Oryzias latipes: one gene and its partners. The protein of the gene in region 3 binds, or shares a complex with, the protein of the main gene of each other region. Links are inferred from orthologs where the notes say so. Each region holds a gene or a part of one and is shown on either strand. Other genes may lie near its edges. The genes, in order: eif2b4, eif2b1 and eif2s1.

The links.
Region 1: the proteins of eif2s1 (region 3) and eif2b4 are in contact, whole or in part, in a cryo-EM structure (PDB 6O81), measured with the Homo sapiens proteins. The link is inferred for Oryzias latipes from reciprocal best matches to the Homo sapiens genes EIF2S1 and EIF2B4. Residues at the interface, in NP_004085.1 of Homo sapiens: Met30, Tyr33, Met45, Arg55, Arg57, Arg75, Glu79, Lys80, Tyr82; in NP_001029288.1 of Homo sapiens: Asn245, Glu246, Glu247, Arg250, Thr285, Ser520, Ser521, Asp522.
Region 2: the proteins of eif2s1 (region 3) and eif2b1 are in contact, whole or in part, in a cryo-EM structure (PDB 6K72), measured with the Homo sapiens proteins. The link is inferred for Oryzias latipes from reciprocal best matches to the Homo sapiens genes EIF2S1 and EIF2B1. Residues at the interface, in NP_004085.1 of Homo sapiens: Ala28, Glu29, Met30, Tyr33, Gly44, Met45, Leu47, Leu48, Arg75, Lys80, Tyr82, Ile83, Asp84, Arg88; in NP_001405.1 of Homo sapiens: Gly39, Thr41, Ile42, Gln43, Gly44, Leu45, Arg46, Ala47, Asn48, Glu70, Arg74, Ser77, Ser80, Leu81, Glu82, Tyr83, Ser84, Asp85, Tyr86, Cys89, Leu305.

The regions. Positions count from the first base shown.
Region 1 is NC_019882.2:13,754,099-13,756,754, reverse strand, and holds the end of eif2b4 (translation initiation factor eIF-2B subunit delta), read right to left. Parts: coding exon 2,570-2,656; intron 2,482-2,569; coding exon 2,354-2,481; intron 1,468-2,353; coding exon 1,290-1,467; intron 1,174-1,289; coding exon 993-1,173; intron 891-992; coding exon 691-890; 3' UTR 584-690; downstream 1-583. UniProt on the Homo sapiens protein: Acts as a component of the translation initiation factor 2B (eIF2B) complex, which catalyzes the exchange of GDP for GTP on eukaryotic initiation factor 2 (eIF2) gamma subunit.
Region 2 is NC_019870.2:1,222,471-1,225,287, reverse strand, and holds the end of eif2b1 (translation initiation factor eIF-2B subunit alpha), read right to left. Parts: intron 2,482-2,817; coding exon 2,365-2,481; intron 2,293-2,364; coding exon 2,180-2,292; intron 2,110-2,179; coding exon 2,041-2,109; intron 1,968-2,040; coding exon 1,892-1,967; intron 1,114-1,891; exon of another isoform or gene 946-1,113; coding exon 820-945; exon of another isoform or gene 752-819; coding exon 596-751; 3' UTR 580-595; downstream 1-579. Other genes in the region: ATP-dependent RNA helicase DDX55, read left to right, coding at 71-363, 430-579.
Region 3 is NC_019882.2:5,867,217-5,871,517, reverse strand, and holds the start of eif2s1 (eukaryotic translation initiation factor 2 subunit 1), read right to left. Parts: upstream 2,838-4,301; 5' UTR 2,660-2,837; intron 1,754-2,659; 5' UTR 1,752-1,753; coding exon 1,511-1,751; intron 1,401-1,510; coding exon 1,321-1,400; intron 1,253-1,320; coding exon 1,101-1,252; intron 1,028-1,100; coding exon 921-1,027; intron 851-920; coding exon 753-850; intron 660-752; coding exon 516-659; intron 1-515. Other genes in the region: atp6v1d (V-type proton ATPase subunit D), read left to right, coding at 3,007-3,047. UniProt on the Homo sapiens protein: Member of the eIF2 complex that functions in the early steps of protein synthesis by forming a ternary complex with GTP and initiator tRNA. This complex binds to a 40S ribosomal subunit, followed by mRNA binding to form a 43S pre-initiation complex (43S PIC).

The DNA of each region.
Region 1 (2,656 bases), about 7.9 Mb from region 3:
AAGTGTTCAAATCCATTTGATGCAAATAAAAATGTATCTTTTAAAAGGGAAACTAACTCCAACTACAACGGACCTGTTACACAACTGTGGAGTCACAGAGAAACCTAAATGAATTAATAATGCATGTTAGGTAAATTCTTTGCACTCCTTGATCTTAGGTTTTTGTCTTGGATTGTCCAATTGGGATTAGACTTTTAACCTTCATTTATTAATTTTTTACATTTTGTTAAAGTTAAAAAGCTGCAGCGTTTGCACTTGTGCTCAGTTTGTCCAGAAAACAAATACTCCCTTGTGGGAGTCAGTATTGCTTTATGTAAAATATCTTTGGAAATTGTATGTAATTCTTCTGATGTAAGAAAATAAACTGACTGGTTTCTATGTTTGACCTTTGACTTGTGTCATTAAAATAGTTTAAACTGTCATCACAAAAAAACTTTACAGCTGGAATCACATGCTAACATGATTTACAACTTTGAGATCTTTAGATTAAAAAAAAAAGTTGAGGATCTATTATTTAACTAGCATTAAAGAGATGTTAAAAAATAAAACCCTTTCATAAAAACACACATGACACAGTTTAAAAAAAAAAAAACTTTTGCCATTTCAGGTATATTTTATTGCATGCTAAAAGCACGATATTGTGAAATTGTCTTCAAATCTGCACACAAACTGATGGTAGGTGAGGGCCGTTCACTGGTCCACGTTTTTGACCCGCAGCACCACCGGGACGGAGGTGCACGGGATCATTCCTAGGTCTGTGATGACGAGGTCCACAAAGTCGGGGGGCGTCACGTCGTACACTAAGTTCAGCAGGCCCAGGGAGGCCACTTGCTGCCAGCCTGCCAGCTGTGTCTTACCTTTGCGGGTCACAATGAGGTCATCGGGGTCATCTGGAAAGAAGAGCTGATGGTTAACTGGCCGCTACGCACAGCAGAAGCTGAAAGGATCGAATGACCCTTTGACAGTAAAAAAGTGATCAGTGGTGTCCGTACCGAGTTCATTGGACACAAAAGAATCTGTCTGCACCCTCTCACAGAATTTGTATGTCTCACAACACACTAGCACAGGCACGTTAAAGGCTTTAGCCACCAGAGCTATCTGTGATGTCCCCACTCGCGACATGACGTATCCGTTGGCCAAGAGAGCGTGAGCCCCAAGGAAAACCTTTGATACCTAAAAGAGGAAACAAAAAAAGTCATTTTTACATTCTAGTTAGTCTCTGGACAAGGAGAAACACTTCATAAAGTGACAATATTGAGTTTTTGTTGCCGTTATGGCTTCCTGATTACCTCTGGAAGAATGTAAGAGACGGCCGAGATGAGAACGTAGGTGCAGCTGATGCCTTTCTGGACCAGGCGCCTCAGGGCCTCCCTGCCCTCCAGCCGAGGCCTGCTGTCCACCACTATAACGCGGAACTTCCTCTGTTTATCATAGGCCTCGCATAGGATGTGGTTGACCAGGGATGAGCTGACAGAGGGATCAGACGCACAATTAACAAAACCTAGATGCTCCAATGCTAGAGAAAAATGGAATCTAGAGTGTTGCAGATTAGTGGTCCCCAACCCAAAGGCTGCTGACACTGACCAGTCTGTGGGACAGCTGGTACCACTCTCTACATATTTGCGGTTTTATTTATACTCTGATTCTGAAGGAAGTTTTCTTTTGAAAAACTGCTGGATTCTCTCCCCCACATGACTTTTTTTTTTTGAGCCATGAAAATATATCTGTCAAGTCAGCTGCTCAGACCAATAATTTGAAACTCCTAAGCTAACAAAGTTAACAAAAATAAGAAACATATTTGGAAAGATTCTTTTAGCAGAAAAGAGCCGGTGAGAAATCTGTTTTTCACACTGGCTGTTTGACTTTAAAGAAAAACTAAATCTGCATTTAACAGACAAAAAAAGGGTAGTTTTCTAGAAATATGAATTTATTATGACAGTTGTTCCCACACACCATAATAATGATGAAGAATAATCAGAAACTGCCTGTCTAATAGTACAAAGTTGCTCAAATGGGGGATTCACGTTTATAATTACTTTAGGAAAATACCCGTTTAAGTAATACTTTAGTAAACCCAACTTTTTCATTTCCACTTAAGACAGTTTTAGGTTCAAGGAAAATCTGTATCACATTGGTTCTTCCATGACATCTCGTGTGCACATAATAATTAAACCGACTGGGGATATTTCACAGAGGATGAAGATACACTTTACCCTCAAAAGTTGAGGGAAACTAGAAGCCAAAATAATTTGACCCCCACTTATTGCCTGACATTAAACCGGTCATCTGCCTAAAAAAGGTTGGAGCCCACTGTTACAGACAACCCCAAAAATAGCAATGTTGAACACCTTACCATCCATAAACTAGAATGACGTCCCCATCACTGATCTTTTCAATGGAAGAGTGAGCGATAGCTGTAGCAGCAAGAATGATCTTCTCTTTTATGTACCACTCAATACTGGTGAGCAGTTTGTTTTTTGCCTGAAAAGAACATCTATGATTAGAAATGCTGTGTCACCGAACCTTCAGCACAATAAATTAACGTGTGAACTCAATGTTTTAAACAAACCTCTTCTTCTTTGCACTGGCTGGGAATATTAGAAATCTCCTTCTTGATGTATTTGATGGCGTTACCCATGCTGGCCGACAGGGGGCG
Region 2 (2,817 bases), on a different chromosome or scaffold from region 3:
GCAGGAAATGGTATTGAAATGGTGGCAGCGGCGGGACAAACCTGTAACCTTTTGGTTCTGATCTGGACAGATCTGGACTTCGCCGCCTTGGCGCGCGGCTTCGGGCTCCTCCGGCTCCCGAAGATGCCGGAGCTGAGGGGGAAGACCTTCCCAGATTTCCCTGAGGCGGCGGTGGACACGGACGCCATCCCGTACAAGGACAAGAACAGGGAGAAGCAGAGGCAGAAGACGCTGGCAGAGCAGAAGGACCGAGACGGGCCGGCGCCGCCCAAGAAGAACTTCGCCAAGAACAAAGCCTGGTCCAAACAGAAGAGCAAGAAGGAGCGGAGGAAGAGGAGGGCAGTGAAGAGGAAGCACGAAGAGGTGAGCGCTGACGGCTGGAGGCCGTCTCTGCGAGGACCGACGGTTTAAGCTCCTCCTTCTCTGCAGGGCAATGATGATGAGGAGGAGGCGCTGGAGCTCCTGAACGACACGCGCCTCCTGAAGAAGCTGAAGAAAGGCCGGATCAGTGAGGAAGACTTCGAGCAGCAGCTGACCGACGGGCCGAAGAGCAAACGGGACGCAGAGGCCCCTCTCTGAACCGCTTTATTGACATTTATAGATATAATTTGATGAGTTCGTCGCTGACGGCGGACGGCGTGAGGACGCCCAGGTCCGTGAACAGGAGGGTGATGAGGGAGGGGGGCGTGTAGTCGATGACGGGGTGCTCCTCCGACAGGTTCTGCCTCTTCTTCAGGGTGTCGGCTTTGTACTGCGGAGCAGAAACAGACGTGAGGGCGGGGCTCGCCCATCCAGGAACGCCGTCAGAGGAGGTCTGACCTTGAACTTGTCCGGGACGTCCTGCTGGTTCAGCGGGTACAGCCGCACAAACTTAAAGCTCTCCGCCACCACGTAGAAGGGCTTGTTGTGAGCTTTGGAGCAGAGCGCCATCTGATAGGTCCCGATCTGAAAGGACAGACGCGCCGAGGTCATTGAGGGCAAACGTCCCGCCACCACGTCCCGTCTGACTGAAAAGAGTCTCCATTCTCAAAACTAAACTGGTATCTGATAAAACAATGATTAAATCTGCTGTTTTCTATCAAAATAATTTGAATAAAAAGATTTTTTAACTGATTCTGAAAAAGTCTGAATCTATTTTTCCCATAAAGCTCGTTTGATGAAACAAAACCTTTACCCCTTGTGCTATCTTAGATGACCCCACCCTTACTTTGACGTGTTCTCCCTACCATGACAAAGGTGGATAAAGGTGGAAAGATTTCATGTAATCCATGGACACCAGAGAAGATCACCAATCATTGAAGAAAAAAGGTTCAGAGCACTGTCTAGTGGGTCTAGATGACCCCACTGTCTAGTGGGTCTAGATGACCCAACTCCCAACGTTAAAGTGCCTAGGATAGCACAAGGGTTAACTGAACCCTTTACCTGCAAAGGTACGCTTGATTTATTCACCCAGCTGTCCAGGCATTTCCATCATTGTTGGTACTTTTTAGATCTGAGTATTGTCAGATTTCCTTTTAACAGAAACAATAAAAAACTTTAAGTTGTCTCTTTGAGTCACTGTAAACTAATGACACGTCTTTATTTTTATGTTTTAGTTATAAATATCTGAATGAAGGATGCACTGACCAAAGAACACTTTGAGTTTAGCTGTTTCTCTAGGACGATTTTGGCGACTAAAGAAACTTTTCAGGCGTGTTTCTAACGCAGCTCCACATGCGGTTAAAAACACGCCAGTTCAGGATTCATCAGACGGTGACGGAGGAGTTTCCGCCCGTCCGCCTGCAGTCGAAGAGCGAACCACATGTTCACTGTTTCTGAACTCCACAGTCTGAATAGGTTTGCAGTTTAGGTCCAAACCCACCTCAGAGACTCCGCCCCTTCCACGCCTCACCTTGTTGATGATGCCGCCGCTCTCCACCACCCCCTCTGCTCCAACGATGACCAGATCCACCTTCTCCAGGACGTACCTGAGAACAGCAGAGCATTGAGGAGGACGCGGTGCATGATGGGAAAAAACGTCTGTAACCGAGCAGGCTTCACCCCACAGCGGCGTCCAGGACCACGGTCACCGGGACGTGGAGCTTCGCCAGCTCCGCCGCCATCTGCTGCCTGAGAGGAAGAGGAGGAAGTGAGGCTGTCTCTGCAGCACAAAAACGTGCGCACGCGCGTGCACACTCACCCGGCGGCGTCGGGCTGAGACTCGGTCACGTAGACGGAGAAACGCTTCTTCTCCATGGCGGCTTTCTCCAGAACCCGCAGCACCACTCGGGAGAAGGAGTGGGTCAGGATTTTCTGAGGATCATCAGCAGAAGAATGAGAGAGCGGCAGGACGGCGAGCGCCAAGAGGGAGCGGCGGGAACTCACGGCGCCGTCTTTGATGAAGGTGTGACACAGCTTGGCCACTTTATTCCTGGACATGGAGATCTTCTCCAGAAAGAGCTCTCCTCTCTCCTCCATCACCTTTTTACAGCGGGACAAATCCTGAGGACCAACGAGAAAACAGCCGTTTCAGCCAGAGACCAGCGCCACCGCAGAACACCAGCGCCACCGCAGAACACCAGCGCCACCGCAGAACGCCAGCGCCACCGCAGAACGCCAGCGCCACCGCAGAACGCCAGTGCCACCACAGGCAGCAGGAAACGACCATCCAGGTTCAAAGCGCCACACAAAAAAATACAGAAAAAAAAAAGAAGTTCGGAACATTTGGAGAACAAAGTTGTAAAATTAAAGGTAAAAAAGGTCAAACAATTTTTAAAATGGTCATAAAACTGTGAGTAAAGTTGTGTATTTATGAAGGTAAAGTAATAAAAGAAAGAT
Region 3 (4,301 bases):
TCATGCTAAGAGTAAATGTTAAAGTGCAACAGACCTTTCAGCAAATATTCAAAACATTGAATCAAAATAGTTTCTATACACAGATTGTTCAGAATCATTCTAAATAGCAAACATTTGCAAAATTAATAACATTTCTAATCCTATTTCTGGGCATTTGTTTAAACATTTAAGTAGCAGGTTGTTTTGTTTTTTGTTTTGAAAAACATTAAAGTTAAACTAAATGACGTCTTATTGTGGTATTTTGCGGTTATAAAAATACAAGTTCATCATTAATTTTTTTAAAATAACAAATTAAGTGACAGTTTGACTAAGTGTACTTAAAATTATTGCAAGCTGCGGTTAAATTCCACATTTTTAGACAAAAATTGATCTTATAGTTGACTGGGAATTGCATACTGACAGCCTCAAATGAAAAGTTTCCTTTCACATTTTGAGTCTAATTACATTTCTTGTTCATGTTTTGTGTTATCTTGTGCACAACAAAAAGTGAACGTTTCAAAATAAAAGTCTCTCACCTCCATCTGGATGTTGAAGACGCCCCTCTTCTCCTCGATCTTTTCCTTGATGGCAGCCATGGCCTGGTTCAGGACAGACAGACCTTCTGTGCGCTCCAAGGTGGTGGTCGTCATCACGTAGCGAGGAGGAGCGATCAGGTTGATCTACGACAACAAGACCACAATAAAAGTTTGGTTGAACAACCTAAACAGTTTTCAGAGAACATTTTAAAAAACAAGTCGCAGTTTGTGGCTCGCCTTGATGGGCATGGCTTCTGTGGAGCAGCCGAGACCGGCTCTCAGAGCTTCCTTCACCGCATCGATGCCCTCATACCCGTAACACGCCACCTCGATGTCTACGACAAAGACGCAGAGTCATTAAGATGTTCTCCTGTTGTCGAACAGGAATGACCAAAAAGAACAAACCTGCTCTGATTTTGACGGCCTGTGGAGTGAGTCGCCTGTTGATGTTATCGATCAGAACGGCTCTCTCCTCTTCTGTTAAGTCTAGGCCATCCAGAATGGCAGGATCTCTGGAGGAAAAAGCTGAAAACTTATACAAAGGTTAAGTATTTATATATTTGTGACTTTTCTGTTTGGACTTACGACACAGCCTGCTTGAAGACGTCATAAGCTCCATAACCGGGCCGCTTGTACTTCTCATCAAACACCCAGGCTGTGCGCTGGTACAAGCTCTCGAGCTGCTCATCCTTGGTATACTCCAGCACTTCTGCCACATGTCGCAGAATGCTGTACACCTGCAAACACAAGACAGTCTACTCAGCATGAAAACAAAGGTTTCATAAAGAAAAAAACAAAAACATACAGTTTTAGATTTGGTAAATTTATCTTCACACTTGATGGCCTCCTCTGGAGAAACTCTTCTTTTTGATAAATCAATATATCCTGGAAAAAAAAGAAGAAAATGAACATAAGAAAGGAATTTGAAAACAGTAAAAAAGGCATTCACTTGCAAAGATTTACCCCTCATTATGAAGACATTCAGCAACACTCACCCTTTTCTTTATCTACTCGGATGACAACAACGCACTCGTTGCGACCTATGCGGATGAGCTTGTTGATGGAGCGGATACGCCGACGGGACAACTCGCTCAGGAGGATCATGCCCTCAATGTTGTTGTACTCCAAAAGGCTGACGTACGCGCCCATCTCTGCGATGGAACGCACGTTCACCATCACAACATCCTCCACCTCTGGAAACCGGTGCTGATAAAATCGACAGCTGAGCCCCGGCATCACTGTCGAAAAACATCAAAAATCAAAACCGTGTTCAAATCTAACACATCTTATGCTAAAAAGAAACATTTTCATTTCATTGTTCAGCATAAATTCATTCTTATTTATTTTCTAGTCAAAGTTTGAAGAATGTTAACAGAATGGTGAGCTCATTTGGGTTTTTGTGATATAAAGCCAGATTGAGATGGATTTAAAATGAGGTACGGTAAACATATAAAAAGGAGTACTGAGGTTATAATAGCTAAGATAGAAGTTTATAGGAAAACTACTAAGAAAAATACTGACTGGATTGCATGAAAGTGGATTTTTAGCTCTGGTAAACACAGCAAAAAGAAAAACCATCTGTTTGGGATGAACATTTAAATGGACCAATCAATATGTATCTACTTTTTAATCAGTCATATCAAGAACTTGTCAATTTAGTTTGAATTGCCTAAAAATTTGAATTTCTACCACCATAAAGTAGAATCTAAGATCCTGTAATTTCCTCTAGGAAGTGAAACGATCTATTCTTCCATAACACATAATGCTATATTGTTAAAATATATCTAGTAATGTTCTAATAAGGCTTTAAATATCCATTATTTTCGTTGTTTCATATTTTAATAAAAATGATGCAATGCGGACAAACAAGCACGAACAGAACCAAAACAAGGCATTTATCAAACGAGTAAAAGGTCACTTTGACTACTTGAAAGTGCCTATCTATGCGCAATCAATCACAAAGAGTTACGATATTTATTTAAACACAAAAGGATTGACTTAATGCGTGCTAGCTGCCTGGCTAACCACCGGGTTCACGTGTGGCGCGTGCAATGTAGCTGCGGCTAACTGCTAGCCAGCTAGCTGTGACTACCGCCTGTTTTAACGCTAAACATCGAACTTCTTTTCTGTCAATAACAACTCACCTGTGTCGTGGGCTTACAGAACTACACACTTGAATGTTATGTGCTCTAAATATTGGTTCCCTCTACTTCTTTCAGCTAATTATTTGAGGCCGTTAGCTCGCATTCATAGGTGGACTAGCTGCTCGACCCGGAAAAGATCTTGAGCGCTTATCGCTTCGCGCATGTGCAGTGCGAGCTTGGGGCAGTCACATGACCAGAGGCCAGCTGATCATCACGGACGAACAAGATCACGGCAGTTACCTTAGTCTTTCAACTAATCCCGAATGAAGACGGTTGTTTGTTTGTCTGTTTAGCACATTTTTATACAACGCCCCGTTTTCAGATCGTATCCTGCAAAAGCCGAGAAGATGTCTGGAAAAGAAAGGATCGACGTTTTCCCGTCCAGGATGTAAGCACCTTGTTTTTCTTGCTAGTTGCTAACTCACTTAGCTTAACTACATTATTTCATTGATTCATTGGGTTTTTAGCTGATTATCGGTTATTTGTTTGTGATTGATTCTTACATAAACGTGTTTCTCACGTATGGTTTCGACTTTTCGTGCTGTCTGGACGCTAAAGAGGAAGGAGCCGCCTTGTGTGTCATGTGATGCTTCCAACATCTTGCGTTGGTCACTCACAGGTTTTTCTGTCTGAAGAAACCTGTTCCAGTGCAAATGTTGCTTTAGCTCATACAAGGGGACTCAAATTCGTGTTAAATTAGATAGTTGTTTTTGAGATTAACAAATACCGAGAATTTGGTTGCATTTCAAATTTAGAGCTTGGCGACTCTTTTCCAGACCAAAAAAAACGTTAAATTTGTGTGTTTGCCCTTCTGTCAGAGTTCTAATAACATACCTACATGACATCAGAGCAGAGGTTTGCAACCTGAGGTCCCTGAGCCACAAGCAGCTCATTTATTCTTCCATTTTGGCTCTTTGGCTTTGAAAAAGCAGGCAGATGTCATAAGGTTTAATGTGTCAGAGCAGTTTTTTTTTTAGAATAAGTGTAAAGCACATATTCTTATCTTCAGATGCACAATATTGTTTTCTTGCTGTTTAGTGACAAAGTTCTTATAATTGCAAGTAAAGGTGATGCAGCAGGAGGAGCGTATTTGACACTCACATGTATTTTATTTTGAAAGGATCGCGTACGTTAAACGTTAGTTATTTACAAAAAAGATCTTAACACTGTTATTATTCAATCCTTATAAATATATAAAAGCTACATTTCATAAATGAATGGCTCAACAATCACACAAAATGTATATATATATATTTTTATCAGTAATGCAAAACTTAAAAAAAAAAACCTTTAAAAAAAAAAAGGTGCGGTGATGCCCTACTTTTTCTGCTAGTCCTGTGTTCAGACTTCAAGGGTTTCTATGGGAAACCTTTTATCACTCTTGTCCTTCTCTCCTCTTTGAGAAGCATGCAGCACGTGCACACTCTATCTACACACAAACACGTGCGCTGTTTCAGAAACACACACACATCCTCATTCTACAATAGAAGTTTCTGTCTTGCCAGGAAATACGACAAATTTACTGCGTTCTAATTATTCCTTTCCATTACAAGCTGCGTGCGTTCTTGAGTGCGTGACACGGCGCCCGCCGGAAGATTTTGTTTGTGTGTATGTTTGTGTGTGTGTGTGTGTGGGGGGGGGG